Linked DNA regions of Callithrix jacchus. The protein of the gene in region 2 purifies or fractionates together with the protein of the main gene of each other region. This does not show direct contact. Links are inferred from orthologs where the notes say so. Each region holds a gene or a part of one and is shown on either strand. Other genes may lie near its edges. The genes, in order: STK35, CTDSPL2, PDIK1L and KPNA1.

Evidence for each region.
Region 1: the proteins of CTDSPL2 (region 2) and STK35 purify together in Homo sapiens (affinity purification with mass spectrometry; 3 studies listed by BioGRID and IntAct, counting the BioPlex papers as one, with this or other methods). This does not show direct contact. The link is inferred for Callithrix jacchus from reciprocal best matches to the Homo sapiens genes CTDSPL2 and STK35.
Region 3: the proteins of CTDSPL2 (region 2) and PDIK1L purify together in Homo sapiens (affinity purification with mass spectrometry; 4 studies listed by BioGRID and IntAct, counting the BioPlex papers as one, with this or other methods). This does not show direct contact. The link is inferred for Callithrix jacchus from reciprocal best matches to the Homo sapiens genes CTDSPL2 and PDIK1L.
Region 4: the proteins of CTDSPL2 (region 2) and KPNA1 purify together in Homo sapiens (affinity purification with mass spectrometry; 3 studies listed by BioGRID and IntAct, with this or other methods). This does not show direct contact. The link is inferred for Callithrix jacchus from reciprocal best matches to the Homo sapiens genes CTDSPL2 and KPNA1.

The regions. Positions count from the first base shown.
Region 1 is NC_133506.1:9,682,452-9,688,271, reverse strand, and holds the start of STK35 (serine/threonine-protein kinase 35), read right to left. Parts: upstream 3,403-5,820; 5' UTR 3,348-3,402; coding exon 3,054-3,347; intron 2,460-3,053; coding exon 1,862-2,459; intron 1-1,861.
Region 2 is NC_133509.1:32,212,462-32,217,707, reverse strand, and holds part of CTDSPL2 (CTD small phosphatase-like protein 2), read right to left. Parts: intron 1,955-5,246; coding exon 1,876-1,954; intron 1,196-1,875; coding exon 1,084-1,195; intron 1-1,083. UniProt on the Homo sapiens protein: Probable phosphatase.
Region 3 is NC_133508.1:62,762,378-62,768,296, reverse strand, and holds the start of PDIK1L (serine/threonine-protein kinase PDIK1L), read right to left. Parts: upstream 3,566-5,919; 5' UTR 2,974-3,565; coding exon 2,799-2,973; intron 1,060-2,798; coding exon 758-1,059; intron 1-757.
Region 4 is NC_133516.1:80,578,601-80,583,846, reverse strand, and holds part of KPNA1 (importin subunit alpha-5), read right to left. Parts: intron 3,339-5,246; coding exon 3,175-3,338; intron 1,723-3,174; coding exon 1,644-1,722; intron 1-1,643. UniProt on the Homo sapiens protein: Functions in nuclear protein import as an adapter protein for nuclear receptor KPNB1. Binds specifically and directly to substrates containing either a simple or bipartite NLS motif.

The DNA.
Region 1 (5,820 bases), on a different chromosome or scaffold from region 2:
GATGCACTCCTAGAATATAAGTAAGACAAAAGAATCCCCTGAGAGCATTTTTTTTTTTTTTTTTTTTTTTTTTTTGAAACAGGGTCTTGCTCTGTAGCCCAAGTTGTAATGCCGCTGCAGGATCATGGCTCACTGTAGCCTCAACCTCCCAGATTCAAGCGATCCTCCTGCCTCTGACTCTCGAGTAGTTGGGACTATAAGCCTGTGCCATCATGTCTGGCTAGTTTTCTTCTATTTTTTGTGGAGACTGGGGTCTCACTTTGTTGCCCAGGCTGGTCTCAAACTCCTGGGCTCAAGCCATCCTCCTGCCTCCCAAAGTGCTGGGATTAGCTGTGAGTCACTGTGCTCTGCTGGACGTCTTTTCAAAACAAAACCACTCACGCTGGGGAGAGGGTGGGCTTCTCAGAGTGGATGGGGCAGGGATGGACATAAAGGTAGACATCTATTTAAAGGGATTTAGGTGATACTGATTCATGTTTCCAATTCCACCGTCAAACAACTGACTTGCAATGGAATAAAAAGTGTTCTCTTGGGAAAGGCTTGGGGAATCTTAAAGTTGGGCAAAAGCCCCAAAGAAGATTTTAGGAGACCACCCCCTCCAAACTCACCCCAAATCCTACCCATTCTTAAAAGTTCATCCTCAGGGTAGGGAGAACAGCATTACACCTTTGAAAGGACCCAGGCCTTGAATCAAGACAGATCTGGGTTCCCCATCACTTAAGCTCTGAGAAACTTAAGGAAACCAGGAGCATAGTCAAACTTCCCTTTCAAGCAGATTAACCCTGATCAAGTTATTTGTTCACTTCTAAGCCTAGTTTCTCTATTTATAGAAAGAGGACAGAATTTACTTTTGAAGTTATTACCTAAAAATTACTTCAGCGCTAAGACCACAGCTGGGCCTCGGATTAGTCAACTTTCTTCCCCTGGATCCTCCTGCCTCAGAAAGTCTCCTCAAACTTTCCAATGTCCCTCTCCTCCTCTCCGTGAAGACACCTAGCTAACAGCAGTAGTAGGAACAAGGCTTGTGGGTACCGAGTATTTAGGATGAACACGGTCCCTAACGGCAGTCAAAACCGGGAAATTAAGGTAATTAGTTCTTCCAGGACTTGAAGACCACTTGCCTCAATGAACCCCATTTTCCTTCTAAGTAAAACCACTTCCCAGCCAGCCTCTGAGGTTAAGAAAAAGATTAAGATTGTAAAACAAAGGGAAAAGATGTTGAATGCTTTGTTATGTGACAGCTCTCAGGCCACCTGTGAGGGCTGTCAGCCTGCATGCCTCGGAGGACCAAGCAAGAAAACCGCCAGTTTGCTTGGCTGCCTGGGATGAAGGACTGGGGGCCTCAGAGGAAAAGGCAGAGTAGGAGGCCACAAGAGTTTGGGTGTGGGAGCTGGAGGGTGTTAGGAAACTTGGAACCACACAGGGAGAGGGTGTGGATGGGTCCAGTGAAGTTTTTTCTTTTTGTTCGTTTTGGGAGGGAAAGAGAGAGGCCCTAGAGGGTGAGTGGGCTCCGCAGTTCTGCTACTAACTGAACCCAACACCTCCTCCACTCCCTGACCGATCTAAAAAGGTAGTAGGCATTTAATCACCATAGCTCACAATTACTGAGCACCTATTAAGTTAATGGTTTGCACTTAAGCTCTTGTTATTAAAATATCAGCCAACGTTAGGCCCAGAAACTGATCCTGGGACCTGAAAAGAGGGCCGAATTCCTGTGCCTAGAAAAGGAGGGTGTGTCCGGGCACAGGGTGACAGGAACCAGGTCTGAGGCCTAGGGGGGCCGGGAACAATGTGTGCCAAACCGTCCGGAGAGGCGCGGACCCAGGCCTTGCAAATGTGGAAAGGACGGCGGTGCTCCTACCTTTCAGTGAGGTCTCCACCAGGCGCAGGTAAAGCTGCGAGCTCTTATTGCCGTGACTCATGCGCTGCGCTAGCCCGTTGCGCTGCAGGACGCACTCCTCAAACTGCACGACGTTTTGGTGGCGCCGCTTGAGGCTGGTGAGGGCCCAGAATTCAGCCAGAGCTAGCTCCACGTTCTCGGGGGCGTCGCAGCGGATCTTCTTGACCGCCACTCGGGCCCCGCTGCGCCCGGCCACTGCCTCGTAAACCACGCCGTAGCTGCCGCGCCCGATCTCCGCCAACAGACTGTAGCGCGGCCGAGCGGACCCGCCACCGCCCTCTGGCCATCGCCGCGCCAGGTAGGCCTCGCCCGGGGCCTCGGTCGCCACCGGATCCATGGCCTGGGCCGCCGCCACTGGCCTCAGCTTCGTGCTGGGCGCCCGCGGCACTGGGCTTCGCCTTTTCCGCTCCGGGCTTTGTGTACCTCTGCGGGCGCCGTCCTTTCCCGTTTCCATGGCTGCGGGCGGCGGGGGGAGCAGCAACGGCGCTGCCCGGGCCCCCCCTGCCTCATCCCTTCGTCCGGCCCCGGGACGCGGAGGAGCGGGACCTTGGATTGTGACCTGCAGGCCAAAGAATCGGTTAAACGACCAGGCCGAGGCGGGGAGGCCAGGAGAGTAGGCCGCGGAGCGCCCCACCTCCTCCTCCCCCGGCCGCCGCGGCCCCTTTAAGACGGAAGCCACAGCCGCTGATTGAACGGGGGAGGGGAGGGGAAAGCGGGAAAGACGGAACCACTGGGCAGCGGCTCAGAGGGAGAACCGGAAAGAAAAGCACAAACTCTCCCCTTTCTCTGTTAGTTTGTCGTGTAGCGATAAGAAAAAGAACACACAGAAAGCTTAACGCCTTCTGAAAACCGCCTTAAGATGCGATTCGGCCGGCGGAAAACTTTTTCTTTGCCCGTACCCCTCCGTGACGCCCCTCCCCGCGCCCCACCTTGTGTTCGCCCGGGTGTAAACAGTCCATTGAATTAAGCCCTAGCGGAGCCCGGCGGACCGACCCAAGTCCCCTAGGGCGGCGGGTAGAAGAGATTGGCTAAAAAGTTCCGTGTCTCGGAGCGCGACCGGCCGAGGAATCCGATTGCCCTCCCCGAGCGCGGAGGCAGTGGCAGTAACTCCATCCTCGGTGCTGGCTCTTCAGTCCTCGAACAGTACCCTTACCTGGCCCGCGCACCTCCGCTTCCGGGCTGTCCGTTTCACTCCTGGAGCCCCTGTCTGGGGATGGTCCGCTCCGCGATGAGGCTGCCTCCGTGACCGAGCTGCGCGGGAGGTGGTGGCCCGAGCCCGGCGTGTGGCGGGTGCTTCTGCTGCCGCGGCGCTCGCTGGGGAGGCCTGGGCTCCCAGGCTCCCGTGGCTTTCCACGTGTTCCCGCCAGCTGAGCCCTTTACATAACCTCTTTACATAAGCTGCACCTCCCGCCGACGCCCGGGCCAGCGGAGACTCCTGGTGGCCCATCCCCTGGGAGGCCAGCCGAGTGAGTCCTGCGCCGCCTGGTCCTGCCAAGGTCGACGGAGCAGCCGCAGCAGAGCGCACCAGCACGCCTCGCCGGGGCCCAATCACCGGCGAGAACACCCAGCCAACAAAAAATAGGCGCCAAATTCCCGTGATCCGCGGCGGCCCGCGCACCGCGACCCCTTCTCCTCGCCTGACCTGCGTGAAGACCAACCGTACGCAGTAGGCGCTTAATAAATACTGATAGGGTGATTGTCTTGGTTTTTTGATTCATAACTCGGTCTGGGAACGTTAGGGAGTGGGTTGGAATCCTGACCTTCCCTTCTACCAGCCCAGTAATCTTGTGCAAATCATTGCCACAACCTGAGCATCGTTTATCTGATGATCCTCTGCTAAATGGATTAAATGGGCCTTAATTCTCAGGAACAATAGAACCAAATGAAATACATAGATAGAGGCTAATTGGGTGTGGGGCTGAGTTAATACTCAAAGCTCCATTTAAGCACAGATTTTTGAGTATTTTGTTCTGTACTTTGTATTACAGTGTAGGCCTAGTGGGTGCCCAGTGTTAACTGAATCTACCGTTATCTATTGAACACCTGTAATGTGCTAGGCACCGTTTTAAGTCTCTGGGGAAAGAGAAGTAGACAAGGCAGTTTCTGCCTTGGTTGAGGTTCTGTGTCACTGCAGGAGACAAACCACATGGGTGGCCTTGGGCAAGTTAATCAACTTTCTTGTGGGTTTTTACCTCACCTGTAAGAAGATTCACAGAGGTTATCCAGATAAAGCACTTAGGACAGCCTTACACACAGTCAATGTTAAGTATTAAAGGATAATTTTTGCCATTGATAAGTGTGATGGAGAAGAAGAATGAGCTAAAGAGTGCTCGTTGGGGACAGGCTATATCTGATAGTGTATTTAGTCGCTGAAAGCCTCTAATGTTTTTGTGATTAAATTTCAAATTTACACATAAATTTCAAGAATCATAAAGATCATATACTTTTTTACCAGAATAACAAATTGTTATATTTTGCTGCATTTCCGTATCTTACACACACACACACATATATTGTGTGTAGATATCCATATGGTTTATACCTGAAAAGAAAGGGAATCAGTATATGGTATATAGATATTCACACACACACACACACTCACACTTATATAATGTATATATATATATTTTAGGACATCATTTTAGAGTTTCCAACAAGCTTCTTTATTCCAAATATTTATATGTCTTTCCTTTAAAAAAGGCATTATCTTGCATAATCTCAGTACAGTGATCAAAAGTCAGGAATTTTAACAATGATACAATTGTGTTATTTAATACACTCCATCCATATTTAAATTTTGCTAATTGTCTCAATCATGTTCTTTATAGCTATTCCCCAGGATGCAATTCAGGATCACACGTTTCATTGACTTGTCATACCTCTTTAGTTTCCTTTAACCTGGAAGGGCAGTTATCCAGCCTTCGTCTTTCATGACCTTGACATTTTGGAAGAGTACTGGTGAGTTATATTATAGAATGTCCCTAAATTTTGATTTTAATGTTTTCTTATGATTACATGCAGAGTATGCACTTCCCCCCCCCCCCCCCCCCGCCCCACATTACCTACCCATCCCTTGCTATTCTGAGAGGGTGAGGGTTTGCATTTTCTGGCAGGAATGTTACTGAAAAGAGTTGCCTCCTCAGGGCCTTTCATCAGGAGGCACATGACATTGTATTTGTCCCGGTATTCGTGGTATTAACTTCCATCATTTGGTTGAGGTTGTGTAGGGGGAGGTACACGCCACCATAAAGTTACAATTTTTCCTTTTGTAACTATTAAGTATCCTGTGGGAAGATATTTTGAGACTGTTTAAATATCCTGTTCTTCACCAGACTCTTACCCACTGGTTTTAGAATTCATGCGGATTCTTGCTTGAAACAATTATTACGGTTGCAAAATGGTGATCAGAAAGTCTTTTTAAACATGACCATTAACAATCTTCGTTACTTACCCTCTCACATCCTCTGATTCCCCCGCCACCCTTCCCAGCCTCCAGTAACTATCATTCTACTTTCTCTGTCTCCATGGGTTCAGTTGTTCTGATTTTTAGATCCCACAAATAGAACATGCAATGTTTTCTTTCTGTGCTTGGCTTATTTCACTTAACATAATGATCTCTGGTTCCGTCCATGTTATTGCAAATGACTGAATCTCATTCTCTTTAATGGCAGAGTAATACTCCATTGTGTATAAGAACTACATTTTCTTTATCCATTTATCTGTTGATGGACACTTAGGTTACCTCCAAATCTTGGCTGTTGTGAACAGAGCTGCAAAAAACACTGGAAAATTGAAATACTGATTTCCTTTCTTTTGGGAATATACCCAGCGGTGGGATGGCTGGATTATATGGTAGCTCTATTTTTAGTTTTTTTTGAGGAACTTTCAAACTGTTCTCTATAGTGGTTGTACTAATTTAC
Region 2 (5,246 bases):
CTGAAATGATATCTGGCTTTGCTGCTCAGCCTGCAGTACAGTGATAAAATCGTAGCTCACTGCCACCTCAAATTCCTGGCCTCAAGGGATCCTCCTGTCTCAGCCTCCCAAGTAGCTGGGACCACAGGGTTGCACCACCAGGCCCATTCATTTTTTGTAGCACCGTGGGTCTTACTATGTTGTCTAGGCAGGTCTTGAATTCCTAGGCCAAATGTAGGCTCAAAGTTCTGAAATTACAGGCATGAAACACCGTGCCTGGCTAAGATAAATTTTCTATGAGAACTAAATCACATCTCCAATTATAGGGTACCAGAAACAAATACTTAATAATATTTTCCAATATGACATGAGATTCATTTGTTACCAATATCAAAAATTAGTTCCTCCCCCAATCCCACTGCTTTACTTTACTAGCCTTAAAAAAAGTAAACAAATTTAAAAAATGCAAAATCAGTAAGAAATTAGAGGCAGATGGGAAATGTGACTATATATTAAATTTGGTTAGCAAATAGGAGATAAATACCCTAAAATATCATTGTTTTTCAAGAAAGACTCTTGCTCTGTCACCATGGCTAGAGTGCAGTGGCATGATCTCAGCTTACTGCAACATCTGTCTCCTGGGTTTTAGGATTCTCGTGCCTCAGCTTCCCAAGTAGCTGCGATGACCAGTGCGTATTACCATGCCCAGCTAGTTTTTGAATTTTTAGTAGAAAATGGGTTTCACCATGTTGGTAAGGCTAGTCTCAACTCACCCACCTTGATCTCCCAAAATTCTTGGATTACAGGCATGAGCTACCGCCCTGAGCCCCTAAAATACAAATTTTTAAATCATATCGGAGATCAGATTAAAAACTTTGTTAGTATTAAGAAACTGTGCTTTTAAGACTATTAATCAAAAGTTTATTGGTATAATATATATATATATAAATAAGGGTTATAGTCTTGCATATGGTTAATTCAGTTGACCCAAACTATATTTGGTCCTTCAGGAAAACATGATCCCAACAAAAAAGGAGAAAGCTAATATAGACATGATTAAAAAAAAAAATTTCACCCATTTATTCTCTACCTTTAGAGACTTACCAAGTCTAAAACTAGGGAGAATTCCGGTGTGCTTCTTGTTTTCAACGGAAGAGCAGGTTTCCTATTTAGTTGTTCTTCTGTCAGTGGTGGGACATGTTTGATGAAATAATAGCTATAAATCAGATTTTTAAAAAATTTCAACATTTTACTTTTTATAAATATAAAATATTACTAAGCTCAGTCCATTTAAAAGTCTACAAAGCAGTTGACCCAGAAAATAAAACTTATCAAATATGTTAATAAAAGTAAAAATATAGAAATTAGTATCTCTATAAATCAAACTCACTCTATCACAGCTTACTGTAACCTCTGCCTCTTGGGCTCAAGTGATCCTCCCCAATAGCTGGGACTACAGGCATGTGTCACCGCACCCAGCCAATTTTTGTATTTTTTATAGAGACAGGTTTTACCATGTTGCCCAGGCTGGTCTTGAACTCCAGGGCTCAAACAATCTGCCTGCCTGGGTCTCTCAAAGTGCTGGGATGAGCCACTGCACCCAGCAGTAAAAGTTGTAATACCTACAGGTTATATACCCAGTATATATATGTAATACCTATAGATTATATACACAGTAAAAGTTCTAATACCTACAGATTACATATCTTGGCAATATACTACTTAGCCACCAATCCACATATATAATGAACTTTCATCATGCTCCAAAAGAAAGGGGGGGTAGGGAGGAAGGCGGAGAGGGTGGGAGGGAGGGAGGGAAGGAAGGAAGGAAGGAAGGAAGGAAGGAAGGAAGGAAGGAAGGAAGGAAGGAAGGAAGGAAACAACTAACTAACTCACGGGTCAAATACTTCCCAGTCTTCTTCATAGGTGGCCTCTGCATGGGCTGATGAATAACCACTATCTGGAGTTACTGGCGCTGTTTAACACAGTGAAAGACAAAACGTTGTTTTTACTTAATGCTTCAAGAAATACACTTTTTTATTGCTCCTATGTAAGATCTTCCTGAAGCCCTATAATACACATTTTTACTGCTTCTATATAAGATCTTCCTGAAACACTGTGTATTTTAGATTAAAGACAAATAATTTGTAAACAACACATAAAAGCAAATTTATTAATATATAGATCTAACTTTAGATCTAAAGGGAAAAATGACCACTACAGACAAAATGGCAAATCAGATCATAGCTAGAATTAAGATGTTTATCAGCTAAGAGAAAATGTACTACTTATTAATAGAAAAACATACTCTAAAAAAAGGAATCTCTTTTTTTGTATGATGTTTACATGTAATAACCAAAAAAAATTTCATGGTGCTCTTATAGGGGCAATAGTTCAAAAAGCACCTTGTGTACACAGGCAGTCAGTAAATGTATCCTGACATTAGACCCAAATGTTCTTGTTTTATTTTGTTTTTTTGAGACGGAGTCTCATTCTGTTGCCCAGGCTGGAGTGCAATGGGCACAACTCAACTCAGTGCAACCTCTGCTTCCCAGGTTCAAATAATTCTCCTGCCTCAGCCTTCTGAGTAGCTGGGATTCAGGTATGCACCATCATGCCTGGCTAAGTTTTGTATTTTTAGTAGAGATGAGGTTTCACCATGTTGGTCAGGCTGGTCTCGAACTCCTGACCTCGTGATCTGCCTGCCTCGGCCTCTCAAAGCGCTGGGATTAAAGGTGTGAGCCACCGTGCCTGGCCCAAATGTAGTTTTTAAACCTGAGATCCAGTCTTTAAAAGGTTCATGAACCCTTTTCAGACTTATTTTTAAAAAATTGTATGTACATGTTTCCAGGAATCTCAAGACTACAATCTTGAAAACTTAAGACATGTGGCCAGGCACAATGGCTTTGCCTGCAGTCCCAGCACTTTTGAGGACCAAAGTGGGCGGATAACCTGAGGTCAGGGGTTCGAGAGCAGTCTGACCAACATGGAGAAACCCCGTCTCTACTAAAAATACAAAATTTGCCGGGCGTGGTGGCGCATGCCTGTAATCCCAGCTACTCAGGACGTTCAGGCAGAAGAATTGCTTGAACCTAGAAAGAGGTTGCAATGAACCAAGATCGCACCACTGCACTCCAGCCTGGGCAACAAGAGTATAATTCCAGCTCAAAAAATGTATATAAAAATAAAATAAATTAAGAAATGCTACTCTCTGCAGAAACTGTTCTTTATTTTAGTTTTTTTTGAGATGGAGTCTTCCTCTGTCACGTAGGCTGGAGTGCAGCGGCACAATCTCAGCTCACTGCAACCTCCACCTCTGGGGTTCAAGTGATTCTCCTGACTCAGCCTCCTGAGTAGCTGGGCTTACAGGTGCCTGCCACCATGCCTGGCTAATTTTTTTTGTATTTTTAGTAGAGAAGGGGTTTCAGCATGTTGTCCAGGCTGGTCTTGAACGCCTTACCTCAGGTGATCCACTCACCTTGGCCTCCCAAAGCGCAGGGATAACAGGTGTGAGCTACCTCGCCCAGCCAGAAATTGTTCTTTTAGTCAGTCTTTTTTTTTTTTTTTTGAGACAGGGTCCTGTTCTGTTACCCAGGTTGGAGTGCCATGGAGCAAACACTGTGGTCTTGATCTAGGCTCAGGCAATCCTCCTGCCTCAGCTTCCCAAGTAGGTGGGACTACAGGTGTACCACCACATCTGGATAACTAAAAATATTTTTTTTATAGAGACAAAAAAGTGTCTCATTATGCTGCCCAGGCTGGTCTCAAACTCCTGAGCTCAAGAGATCCTCCCTTCTCAGCCTCCTTAAGTGCTGTTGAGCCATCGTGCCTGATCAAAATCACTGCTTTATAAGACATATTATTTTACTTCTAATTTATAAACAACTTAAAAATGGTCCAGAAGTAATTCTATATTGCATGCCATAGTTCATTCCCAGTTTGAGCTAAGATCATAACATTTGATAGAGCTTTAGAAATTATACTGGAAATTTTCCAAGACAATAATTACAACTTAAATGTAAGGAGAAGACAAAGGTAACTTATAAGCCAAACAGGTAATGTCTCAGACATAAAAATTTAAAGTGGAACCCAATAAAACTTTCTGTGATGTTTCTATAGAAATGAAATAGTAGAGAATAGTCTTTCAAGACAAAATAGTCTTTTGTCCAATTGTAACGTATTAACACCTTTTGAGACAGAGTCAACCTGGTGTGTATGTTCAGTGGATGACATCAGATGTAAAACAGAATTTTTGTGCGTCTCTGGCAATATTATGCTTCTAATAATTAGCACAAGAAAATGTATCTTCAACTACTTACTGTTTCAAGTTCCTATTGATGAAAGAAACAAAATTTATTTTTATTTATTTACTTTATTATTATTTTTCAAGACAAGTCTCACTTTGTCGTCCAGGCTGGAGTGCAGTGGCATGAACACAGCTCACTGCAGCCTTGACCTCCCAAGTCAAGCAATCCTCCTACCTCAGTCCTTCAGGTAGCTGGGACTATAGGTGTATGAGCCACGATGGCCAGCTAATTTTTTATATATATTTTTTTTTTGTAGAGACAGAATTTCACCATATTGCCCAGGCTAGTCTCAAACTCCTGAGCTCAAGTGATCTGCCCACCTTGGCCTCCCAAAGTGCTGGGATTATAGGCATGAACCATGGTGCCCAGCCAAGAATATTTGTTAAATGCTTATATGTTAAGTATTTTGCATATCTCATTTAGCCTGCAAAACCTTGTATTATAATAGCCACGTTAAAGCTGAGAAAACTGTATTTGAAACTGTCTCAAGGGCTTAAATAAGTCATCCAAAGTAACAAAGCCACCAGCTTCCTACCTTCTTTTTCTCTTTGGCTATGTTCTCAAGGAAAAGAATACTTTTGTCACTCATATTCATCTTTTAAGATCAGTATAAATGTTACCTCTATCTATGTTCTCATGATCATCCCAATAGAGTAACTGTAATATGTCACACCATATCATTTAGCTCACTTCTTTGTAGCAGCACTCACCATACTGTATGGTGATGTTTTTGTATACTTGGCTCTTCAGTTAGATAACAAACTCCTCACGGGTCAATTCATCAAAAGTTCCCATCAAAGAAAAATAGGTGCTCATAAACATTGGGGGAATAAATGAATAACTGTGACAACTATAGTAAATTTTAATTTTCCCTTCTAGAAACCCCTAAGGTTATAGAAATCCTTTCTCCATCCTCACAGTTGTCAGAAAAAATAAAAAGAAAGGCTTATATACCAGCAT
Region 3 (5,919 bases), on a different chromosome or scaffold from region 2:
AGAAGAGTAATTTGGAAGTTAAGAGAGCATAAGCTTTAGCTGCCAGTCTTAGCTCCAGCTCCCAATTCTACCACTTACTAGGTATGTAACTTTGGATAAATTCATTATCTATCCTAAGCCTCAGTTTCTTCATTTGTAGTGAAGATAATAATAGTCCTTTCCTCATAGGATTGTTTTGAGCAACTGCTTTTAAAGCACTTAACACAGAGCATGGAACTGAGTGGGAATTCAAATGTTAGCTATTAGCACTGTTAATAACATTCAGGTGTTAAACCACGTACTTCATGAAAATTAACTGGAATTGCATGGTGAAGAAACCAAATATCCCTCTAAAACAGCAAAGGCTGACATTCAAACCAGCGATTTATAAAAGAGATGCCCAATTACCTAAGGGTGTTGCTATTGGTTGTGGAGTTTTTCCTTTTCTTCTGTCAAGTCCAGAATTATTGATTTCAAAGAAATGAAGTTATTAGACTGTAGTCTCAAGCACTTCTCTAGCTCCTATCTTGCCCCATTCCTATGCAGACTGGCAAGTACCATTGCATAACAGGTGGCTTATGTTATTTTTAGGTATGTGCATCACAGGTTTAAATAAAACCTTGTTTTAAAGCAAACATCTACTCAATTCTTGGCAGACACTTATCTACTTCTAACTACAAAACACCTGCATTTAAAGGGAAATGTTTGACCCTGTCATTCCTCTTGCTGACCAATGCCATGTTCGAATCATTTCTATTTCCCAATCAACAACACATACCTGTAAATAAAGGGAAGAATTAGAGCCGTGGGACATCTTTTGCACCATCCCATCCTTTTGTAGGATGCATTCCTCCAAGTGAATCACATTTGGATGTTGGCTCTTGATACTGCTTAGTGCCCAGAACTCACGAAGAGCTAGTTCAACATTTTCAGGTGCGTGACATCGAATTTTCTTCACTGCCACCCGTGCAGAAGTCTTTCTGATGACTGCTTCATACACAACACCGTAACTACCTCGGCCTACCTCCCGTATTAGATCGTACTTTGGCTGGCTACTCACCATCTTCAAGGTCGAGGTTTCTGGAAAAATCAACAAAGTGCTCTGTTGAAATTATGTATACCTACTGGCTTGTATTTCCTTTTATATATGATTTGCTTGTCATCTGTTTCACTGTCTGCAGTGCTTGAGGGATATTTGCTATATCTAGGGAAAATCTAATTTTAAGAATAGTAACAATAAAGCTAACAGGTAGTATTTACTATGTATCAGGAACTGTTTTAAACTCTTTCGAATATTAAATTTGGTTAATCCTCATAATAATCTTATGAGGTAGATACTAGTATGGTCTTTTTATAGATGAAACTATGTAATGGAGAGGTTAAAGGAAATGCCTAAGGTCAATAGCTAGTAACTCATGGAACTGGGATTTTAAATCAGGCCATCTGCCTCAGACAACCACAATTTTAAGCACTACAGTATACTGTCTCTTGTATGAACTGCTTGAAAAATGTCACTGTTAAAAATACATTCCCAAAATTCAGCATTCTTATCCACTGATCAGGAAAAAACAAGCAAGCAAGCAAAATCCCAGCTTCTCCTTCAGGCTGACACAGACATAATGGTCATAAAACAGCAAAAACAAAACCCCCTCACAGTTAGAAATACAAACACCTGGCTTATGCTTAAGGCCTGACAGTGAACCAGAACATTTATAGAACTGAAAATGTTTGTTTTCATTATGCAAAAGTGGCCAAACTTTTATTCATATTTTAATTTTGTTTCTTATGTCATCTCCTTATTTCTTACAAAATAAATGAAAATAAACTTTATGGAGAAGAAACTTTTTTTTTGAGACGCAGTTACCCAGGCTGGAGTGCAATGGTGCGATCTCGGCTCACCGCAACCTCCGCCTCCTGGGTTCAGGCAATTCTCCTCCCTCAGCTTCCTGAGTAGCTGGGATTACAGGACGAGCCACCATGCCCAGCTAATTTTTTGTATTTTTAGCAGAGACGGGTTTCACCATGTTGACCAGGATGGTCTTGATCTCTTGACCTCGTGATCCACCCGCCTCGGCCTCCCAAAGTGCTGGGATTACAGGCGTGAGCCACCGCGCCCAGCCCGAAACTTTTCTTTAAAAATAAAGCAAGCTACTTAGAATACAGTTACCTTTTGTAGTCATTTAACAATAGCTATTTAAAATTTTTTACTTATGTTTCCTTTTTACTAATCAGAAGAGAGCTGGAGTAAACAATAGTTCTAGGTCATTTTTGCCAACAAAAAATATTCTGTGGGCCGGGCGCGGTGGCTCACGCCTGTAATCCCAGCACTTTGGGAGGCCGAGGCGGGCGGATCACTAGGTCAAGAAATCGAGACCATCCTGGTCAACATGGTAAAATCCTGTCTCTTAAAAAAAAAAAAAAAAAAAAAAAAAAAAAGTCCTGCATATCAATGGGCTCTCTAACAGAGTTCTTGGGAATTCAACTTAGTGAATGGTTTAAAGGCGAGAGCAAAGGCCCTATACAGAAATACTCATGTGTTGAATAAAGACAGTCTAAAGTGTGCTTCCTTACTCCCCAAAGAATTTCTAGATTCTAACGAACTTCACGAACGAATTCGCTTTTGTAGATTGTTGCCACGGGCAAGAAAAGTAACCTGAGATTGTACAATATTTATTCTGTTCAGCTGGGAAATGCAAAAAGCTACTGACCCTAGAGCCTGAGAAGTTGGGATCCGCTGCGTTAAGTCCATAGGATAGATTTAATCAAGAAAGGACTTCTGAGATTGCTTTCAGTCCCACTTCCTCTAACCGGACACCCACCCTTCAAATCGCTACCGAATTTCCTAGTGTCTGATTTCCTGCCACAGAATCCTCTGCCCCGACTGTACAGCAGACGAGTTTTCCTGCTCTTCGGCGATCGCCAGTCACATCCACTCAAGGTGGTTCGTGTCTCTGAAGCAGTCCCATGTCCTCTCCAGCCAGGTACAGTCCCCATAGGGAGGAGCACCTTCCCGAATAGGGAGGAGGGGTGTTTATGAAACCCGTGGGATCCCGGATCGAATGATGCATCCGGTGCGAACCTAAGCGACTTTCGACGGCAAGTGGCGGGACCTCGCTCTCGCCTTTCTAACCTGGCGCCGGGACGCGGGCCGGCCAGGCCAGACACCTGCCGGCGCCCGTGAAGGGCCAGTCCGGGCCAGAGGTGTTGTCCGACGCGGCGGCTCAGGCCGCGCTCATTGGCCAAGTGTCAGGCCCTCCCCCTCCTCGGCCGCGCTCAGATGAAGCCCGGAGGGGAGGCTCCCGAGCCCCTTTGCCCAGAGGAGCCAGCCCTGCAGCTGCCTCAACTCCTCGGGGCCGGGGGCTGAGGGCCGGGGCTTGGGGAGGTGGCCCAGGTGTGAGAGGAGGCCGCGGCTAGGGCCGGTGGCCTGAGGGGCGCGGGGCCTTCCCCAGGATGACTCCACTGACAGGTCTGTGACAGGCCTCCCGGGGAGGGAGGCACATGCAGGGCCGTCGGCACTGCAGCAGGGCCTCTCCACCACGCCGAAGAGCCAGATTTACCTCAGGGTAGACGCTGCCGCTTCTCCCTCTCACGGGCTCTGCAGGCCGCCATTATCGGGCAGCTCGCGCCTCCGCTGCAGCCGCCGCCTCCAGTCAGCGGCCGGCGCGCGCCCCCGTGGTGCGCGCGGACACACCCCCTTACGCTGGCGGCCCCGCCCCCCTCCGGCTTTCCGTAGTGCGAGCCGGTAAGTTCCGCGCCACTGATCAGGCGCGTGGCCGGCCCTCCGCTCGCCACCTCCCTCTCCCGAGGATTTGCAGATCCTGGAGTCGGAGGTGTACGCGCTACGGAGCGCACCACTGGTGCTGCTCTCCGCAGGGGTGGCCGGGTCCGAGAACCGCGAGGCCATGCCACGCGGGGTCTCGGTCACCCTCCAGCCGCAGCGGGCGCGTAGGGCACGCGGCCCCGGGGACGGTCTGCAGCAGCAGGCCCTGGCCTGGGGCTGCGTGCGCCCCGCCGTGGCCTCCCCTCCCCCTCGCCACCCCCCTTCCAACCTACCGAGCTGCGGGCTGGGATGCGGGGCTCGCTGGGGTGGTACGCCGCTTGCATCTTCTGCGCGGGCCTTGGGTGCTTGCGGGGCGCGGTGCTGCTTTGGCGGGCCCGCGTGGAGGCGCGGCCCGAGCAAGAAGGTCTGGCGTCCGCCCCGCCGGGAGGGAGGCTGCAGCTTTTGTCCGAGTCACTGAGCCATGTTTGCGGACGATGCAGTTGCCGAGAAGGCGGCAGCGGCGCGGGGCTGAGTGCGATCATCTGGGAAGACGTCGTCCCCTGCCCCGCCGGCGCGGTGGTATCTCCCTTAAAGAAGCCGGCGCCTCATTGTTTCCCGGTGGTGGCAGCAGGGAGCCAGGGCCCCCTGCCTGGCGCTGGGAGGGAGGGGACGGTGACGCCCGCACCTGGCTGCAGTGACCGCGGCGTCCCCCCGAGGTTCCTGGTGGAGGGTCGGTCTGCAGTCGGCGCGCGGAAGAGGCCTCGGTCCGAGCCCAGATCCACCGCGCTCCGGGCCCTTTCGAGACAGGACGGTCAATGGGAGTTCCGCCGCTGCTGCAGTCGCCCGGGTGCCACACGCTGTCAGTCAGATCCTGCACGCTGTCGGCCCCACAGCCAGCGCGGGGTCACTCAGGCCCGGACCTCTCAGTCATCCAGTTGTTAGATCAGTAAGCATCCGCCAGAAACGTCCATTCCTTCTTCCCCGATTTATTTTGCACCGATTACTTGTCAGCAAGGTGATGGTTCCTCCTCCTAGCGCTCGCTCTATAAGGCACGATGTATAAAGAATCCCTGTCGCTGTGCTCAAAGATCAACCCGTTTTATTTTCTGTTCTCCATTTATGCTATTTCTCCCGAGAGTCTGAGATTATCTTTACATATATAAATTATCTTGTTTAACCCTAACCTAACCCCACAAGGGGAGGTTTTATTATCCTATTTTTGCAGATGAGGAAACACCTCTGCCTCTTTTTACTGAAGTGTCTTTTTTGGGGTGTGTCTACCTTGAATACCCACTCCCCGGTGTAATACTCTGTCCCCTTAAAAAACCCCACATTGGTTCTGTAATCTGTTCAGACTTTTGTCCTGAGTGCCATCCAAGTGTCAGGTCTTCAGCTGTTTGCTGGAAACACTGGTGACAGGCCAAGACTTATTTCCCGCCCTCAAAAGTAAAGGGAAAATTTCGGGTCGCGGTGGCTCACACCTATAATCACAGCACTTGGGGAGGCTAAGGCGGGTGGATCACAAGGTCAAGAGATCGAGACCATTCTGGTCAACAAGGTGAAACCCCGTCTCCACTAAAAATACAAAAATCAGCTGGGCGTGGTGATGCGCGCCAGCTACTCGGGAGGCTGAGGCAGGAGAATTGCTTGAACCCAGGAGGCAGAGGTTTCAGTGAGCCGAGATCGTGCCATTGCACTCCAGTCTGGGTAACAACAGCGAAACTCCATCTCAAAAAAAAAAAAATAAAGGGAAAATATAGAAGGCTTTGTGTACACAGCTAGCTACCTGTGTGGGTTATTGATCCAAATCGGGAGGGACCTCTCTCAAAGTAGCGTTTGTGTTTTCTTTGTGTGTCATTGAATATCATAGGAACTCTTGCTCTCAAGTTAGCTGCAGATGAGATTTGAAATCCACCCTCATTCTCAAATTTAGGCTCGCTGTAAAGTCCGTGAGGTGGGTTCAGGTCTTGTGGGGCCTGAAACTTAAATAATTTGCGGTGTCCTTAGGGAAAAGGTTATACAATGGCCCTGTGAACACATACCTGGAACACTGGAAAGGGTCCCTATAAGCAAAGGACTCCAAAGCTAAAGATTAATTAGCTTCAGGGTGAATCTGCCTCCTGCTTAGTATGTTATGTCATTTTTTGTTGTTGTTGCCCGTAGGCCTCCTAAAAGACTGA
Region 4 (5,246 bases), on a different chromosome or scaffold from region 2:
TAGTAACTGATGAGAGAGGTGGAGGAGAGGAAAAAATCAAGTTGATGTCCAGGTTTCGAGGGGAACTGTTGGTGCCATTCACTGATACAGGGAACATAAACAGAAGTTCAGATTACACAGGGGGAAATGAGTTTCCTTGTGTACAGAATAAATTTAAAGTAAATACCTAACAGTTAGAAGACATCTGAGAGAACAAATCCGATCTCCTTAATTTTAGAGATAAAAAAGGCATTAAATGTATTGCTGAAAGTCAGAACCAGTGAAGAAAAAGCTAAGACTAAAACCCAATTCCCAATTCTCAATCCATGCACACAAGGGTGATCACCAACATTATAAATAAGATCTACGAATGAGGCTGAAGCATTGCCCTATGGAGGATGCCCACTAAAGGAGACAAGAGGAAAATGAGCTCCCGAGGGAGAAATAAATGGTCAATGAGGAAGAAGAACTAAAAGACTTCAACATCACAATGCAGCTAAGATTTCAAGAAGAAATATGGCTATAACAATGCACTGTAAATGGTGTCTCTTGATACAGAAGTTGAATGGAATAGACAATGACATTAGAAAGAGAAGAATCTTCCTTACACAGGAGACTTACCATGTACAGAAGGAGAAAGCTATCAGAAGGTGATATTGAGATGACGCAGGCAGAGAAAAGATGCTACTAGAGGCTTCGAATGCTCGTGAGAACCATTTCAAATAGTGAAGACAAACAAATCTTTCTCACCAAAAGAAAAGTCATTATCATAGGGGAACCCCAAATTACTACAATCAACAGGTCAAGTCAGAGATGCTGAAGGTACTGAGAGTAGATGCCTAAACCAACGTTTTTGTGTTTTTATTTTTTTTAAGCCAGAGTCTTGCTCTGTCACCCAGGCTGGAGTGCAGTGGTGCGATCTCAGCTCACTGCAACCTCTGCCTCCTGGGTTCAAGAGACTCTCCGGCCTCCCAGTAGCTTGCAGTGAGCCTAGATTGTGCCATTGCACTCCAGCCTGGTGACAGAGCGAGACTCCATCTCAAAAAAACAAAACAAAAAAACAGTACATTGAACTTGGCTATTTCTTTTATTTTTAGTAGAGTCAGGGTTTCGCCATGTTGCCCAGGTTGGTGCCAAACTCCTGGGCTCAGGCGATCTACCCACCTCTGTCTCCCAAAGTGCTGGGATTACAGGCATGAGCCACTGCACTGGCTCAATATTTTTAAACATTAGTGAAACACAGTATCAAATTTCCCTAATAATATGAAGTTAAATACTATAATAGAAATATGATCATGAAGTTCAATGTACTGTTTTTTTGTTTTGTTTTTTTGAGATGGAGTCTCGCTCTGTCACCAGGCTGGAGTGCAATGGCACAATCTAGGCTCACTGCAATCTCCACTTCCCATGTTCAAGCAGTTCCCCTGCCTCAGCCTCCCAAGTAGCTGGAACTACAGGCGTGCACCACCACACCCAGCTAATTTTTTGTATTTCAGTAAAGACAGGGTTTTACCATGTTGGCCAGGATGATCATAATCTCCTGACCTCAAGATCCACTTGCCTCGGCCTCCCAGAGTGTTGAGATGACAGGTGTGAGCCACCATGCCCAGCCAATGTAGTACTCTTTTTAAAGGAACAAAGAAACAATTATCACTTCTTCATACCTGTGTCTGAATATCATCCCCTGTGACAATGTTTCCCACAGCTCGCAAAGCAGGAGAAACCACTTTATAATCATTATGCCTGAAAAAATAAAAAGTAATGTTATAGCCAACAGTTCTATCCTTAGTCTCATTTCCTTAGAACCAAAATTAAAAAAAATTATGATAGAATTTTAGAGCAGAAAGGTACCTATGGGGGTAATTAAGGGAACTCTTATCATGTCCCCTACTGTCTTTCCCTTTATTTTAGTACATTTGGAAAAAACTACCAATCTTTCCTAGGAATCTTTCCCAGGTATTCCATCACCTGGATTCCAAGTTTTCCCTCTCATTCTTTAATTTAGGTTTCATTTCCTCTTTACTTGGTCTTGTATGGTTGCTGAGATAACGGAGAACAATAGTTAATATTTATGCAACATGTTTTAAGTTTTATAAATTGTCTTAATTTTCACAGAGGTTAAAAACAACACATCAACAGCCGAACTAACTTGAAAATGCAAGTCAGGAGTCACACTCCAAATATAAAGGTCTTTCAACTAAACCTACTAAGCTGCCTTACTGGTTGAAAACCCCTCCCTTACTGGTTGAAAATCCCTCCACAAAGCTATACATACACACACACACACAAACTTTTGATTTTCTTTAAGGGTCCTACTTTTCCCGCCCCTTTAATAAGGCTGATCACTCATCTAAAAACTGCCAGTTCCTTCACATTTTAGATGTGATTATTAAAAAGAAATGGCTAAAATATATAGTAGTCTAATGGATAAAGAATGCAAAGGTTTACTTCCCAGATTTTGAATGATGTACTGACTCCTGCAGCATCATACTGCCTGCCATTCATTCACATTAGCACTACAATACTGCTCTGCATTCAGTCTGCAGCCAGCTATAATGTTGTATTTTGTATTAACATATTATAACTATCTAATCTATTCCAAATGTCATGTTTGAGACAATGTCTCCTCGCATCTATTTTGTACTTTAATTAAATTTCCAGTTGCTTGTAGTTGTACCATTTCTCCATTATGTTATCACTTTTTTCTTCTGTCGTATCTAAAAATTTGATTAAGACAGTCTCAAATTATTTATTTAACGAGTAAATCTTCTACTGCATTATCAAAAGCAGCACAAAGGTGATAAACCAAAGTAAGATTCAGTTTCTGATACTTGTCTTAAATAAGCTCTAAATGAGACAGAAAGATAAGGAATGACTATTTTATTGGCAGTGTATCTTCTGATGTCCAGTGGTTGATCTCGGGTCATCCAGTATGAGACTGTAACTACACAGATCAGAGTTTTCCAAATATTTCTGCTAAAGGCCTGCTAACAGCAGAGGAGTAAGAGGTTCTCTATAAGCCTCAATAAAACAAGACAAACAGATCTGCCATCAACATAAACAAGTAACAAAAAATAGTAGCCCAAAGCACAATAAACCAATATAATATACAATCAATTAATATTTAAGTATTAGTAGCTAGAAAACTAGTACCAAGGGAAAAAAAGTGAACACACTTTCTAAAACATATCTTACATCAGCAGCTCCACAAGTCTCCTACATACTCCCGCATCAATGACTGCTTGAATTTTATCATTGGGTCCATCTGATAGATATGAGAGGGCCCAGCAGGCATCAGCCAGTACATCAGTGTCACTGACAAACAGCAACCAGGAAAGCACATTCAGACATGGGGAAACCTATAAAAGGAAAATGATGATTATGAAATCCAACAGACTAGAAGCCAGAAGTGAGGTGAGATACTCAAGAAGGCAGCCAGGCATAAATTTGGTGACTTCTTGAGTGATTTACACTTCTCAAGAAACAACAAGTACCTAAGTGGCAGTTCCATCTTTAACAATGCTGTCAGTGGTCTTGCACTAATTTGTAGTCAGAGCCCAAGGAAATTAATTTCAGATCATAAAGTTTTATATACATCAATTCTTGGAGTGAGATTCCTTGTCAAAACACATTCTTTGTGGACTAAAGAGGTAAAGAAACTTTCAAAAATGTGAAAGCTAAGAAATTCTGTATTTTAGATACTTTAGACCAAAAATGCTAGGGTTTTAAGATGAATTCAGTGAAAAATGATTCCAAATTAAAAACAACTACCAAAAAAAAATCCTGTTTCTTCTAATATGCAAAATATACAAGAAACTCAAATCAGCAAGAAAAAAACAATCCCATCAAAAAGTGGGCTAAGGACACAGACGATTCTCTAAAGAAGATATACAAATAGCCAAAAACCATTTAAAAATGCTCATCGCTCATCACTAATTATCAGGGAAATGCAAATTGAAACCACAATGTTATACCATCTTACTCCTGCAAGAATTGCTATAATCAAAAAATCAAAACAGGCGGGATGTGGTGGCTCATGCCTGTAATCCCAGCACTTTGGGAGGCTGAGGTGGGTGGATCACCTGAGGTCAGGAGTTCAAGACCAGCCTGGCCAGCATGGTGAAACCCCATCTCTACTAAAAATACAAAAATCAGCCGGGCATGGTGGTGTGTGCCCATCATCCCAGCTACTCAGGAGGCTGAGGCAGGAGAATCGCCTGATCCTGGGAGGTGGAGGTTGCAGTGTGCTGCACAACTGCACTCCAGCCTGGGCAACAAGAGCGAAACCCTGTCTCAAAAAAACAAAAACACGATAAATGTTGGCATGGATGTGGTGAAAAGGGGAATGTAAATTAGTATAACCACTATGGAAAATAGTACAGAGATTCCTTAAAGAACTGAAAGTAGATCTGCCATTTGATCCAGCAATTCCACTGCTACAAACGTGCACAGATACTTGCACACGCATATTTACAGCAGCACAATTCACAATTGCAAAATTATGGAAACAGCCCAAATGCCCATCAATCAACAAGTAGATAAAGAAACTGTGATATATATACCATAGAATACTGCTCAGCCATAAACAGAAACAAAACAACGGCATTTGCAGCAACCTGGATGGAACTGGAGACCATTATTCTAAGTAAAGTAACTCAGGAATGGAAAACCAAACATCAGATGTTCTCATTCATAAGTGGGATGTAAGCTATGAGGGCACAAAAGCATGAGATTGATACAATAAACTTTGGGGATTCTGGGGTAAAGGATGAGAGGTAGGTGAGAAATACAAGACTAGACAGTGGGTACTCTGTACACTGCTTGGGTGATGGGTGCACCAAAATCTCAAAAATCACCACTAAACAACTTACTCATGTACCCAAACACCTGATCTGTTCCCCTAAAACCTACTGCAAAAAAAAAAAAAAAAAAAAAATCTCATGGACTCCCAGACTATACTTTGAGAACCACTGTTTTAGGAGAACTGAAGAGTCTCTTAATACAGTATACTAATTGTATGAAGTCTCATTTCAATGAGCTTTACAAATTCTCCCTTTATGCTATGCTTTTATTTATTTGCAGCCCCTACATAAATGTGCATCTTCAAGCTATGCTTTAAATTTGCTTTTCAAATAATAAAGGGAACCAAAAAAAAAAACAAAAACCCTGTTTCTCCAAAAACAGATAAAATTCTAACATTTTAAGTTTTAACAAAAATTATCTTTCTGTTCACCTTACTATTGGTTGCTATACTCTTATAATTGCAT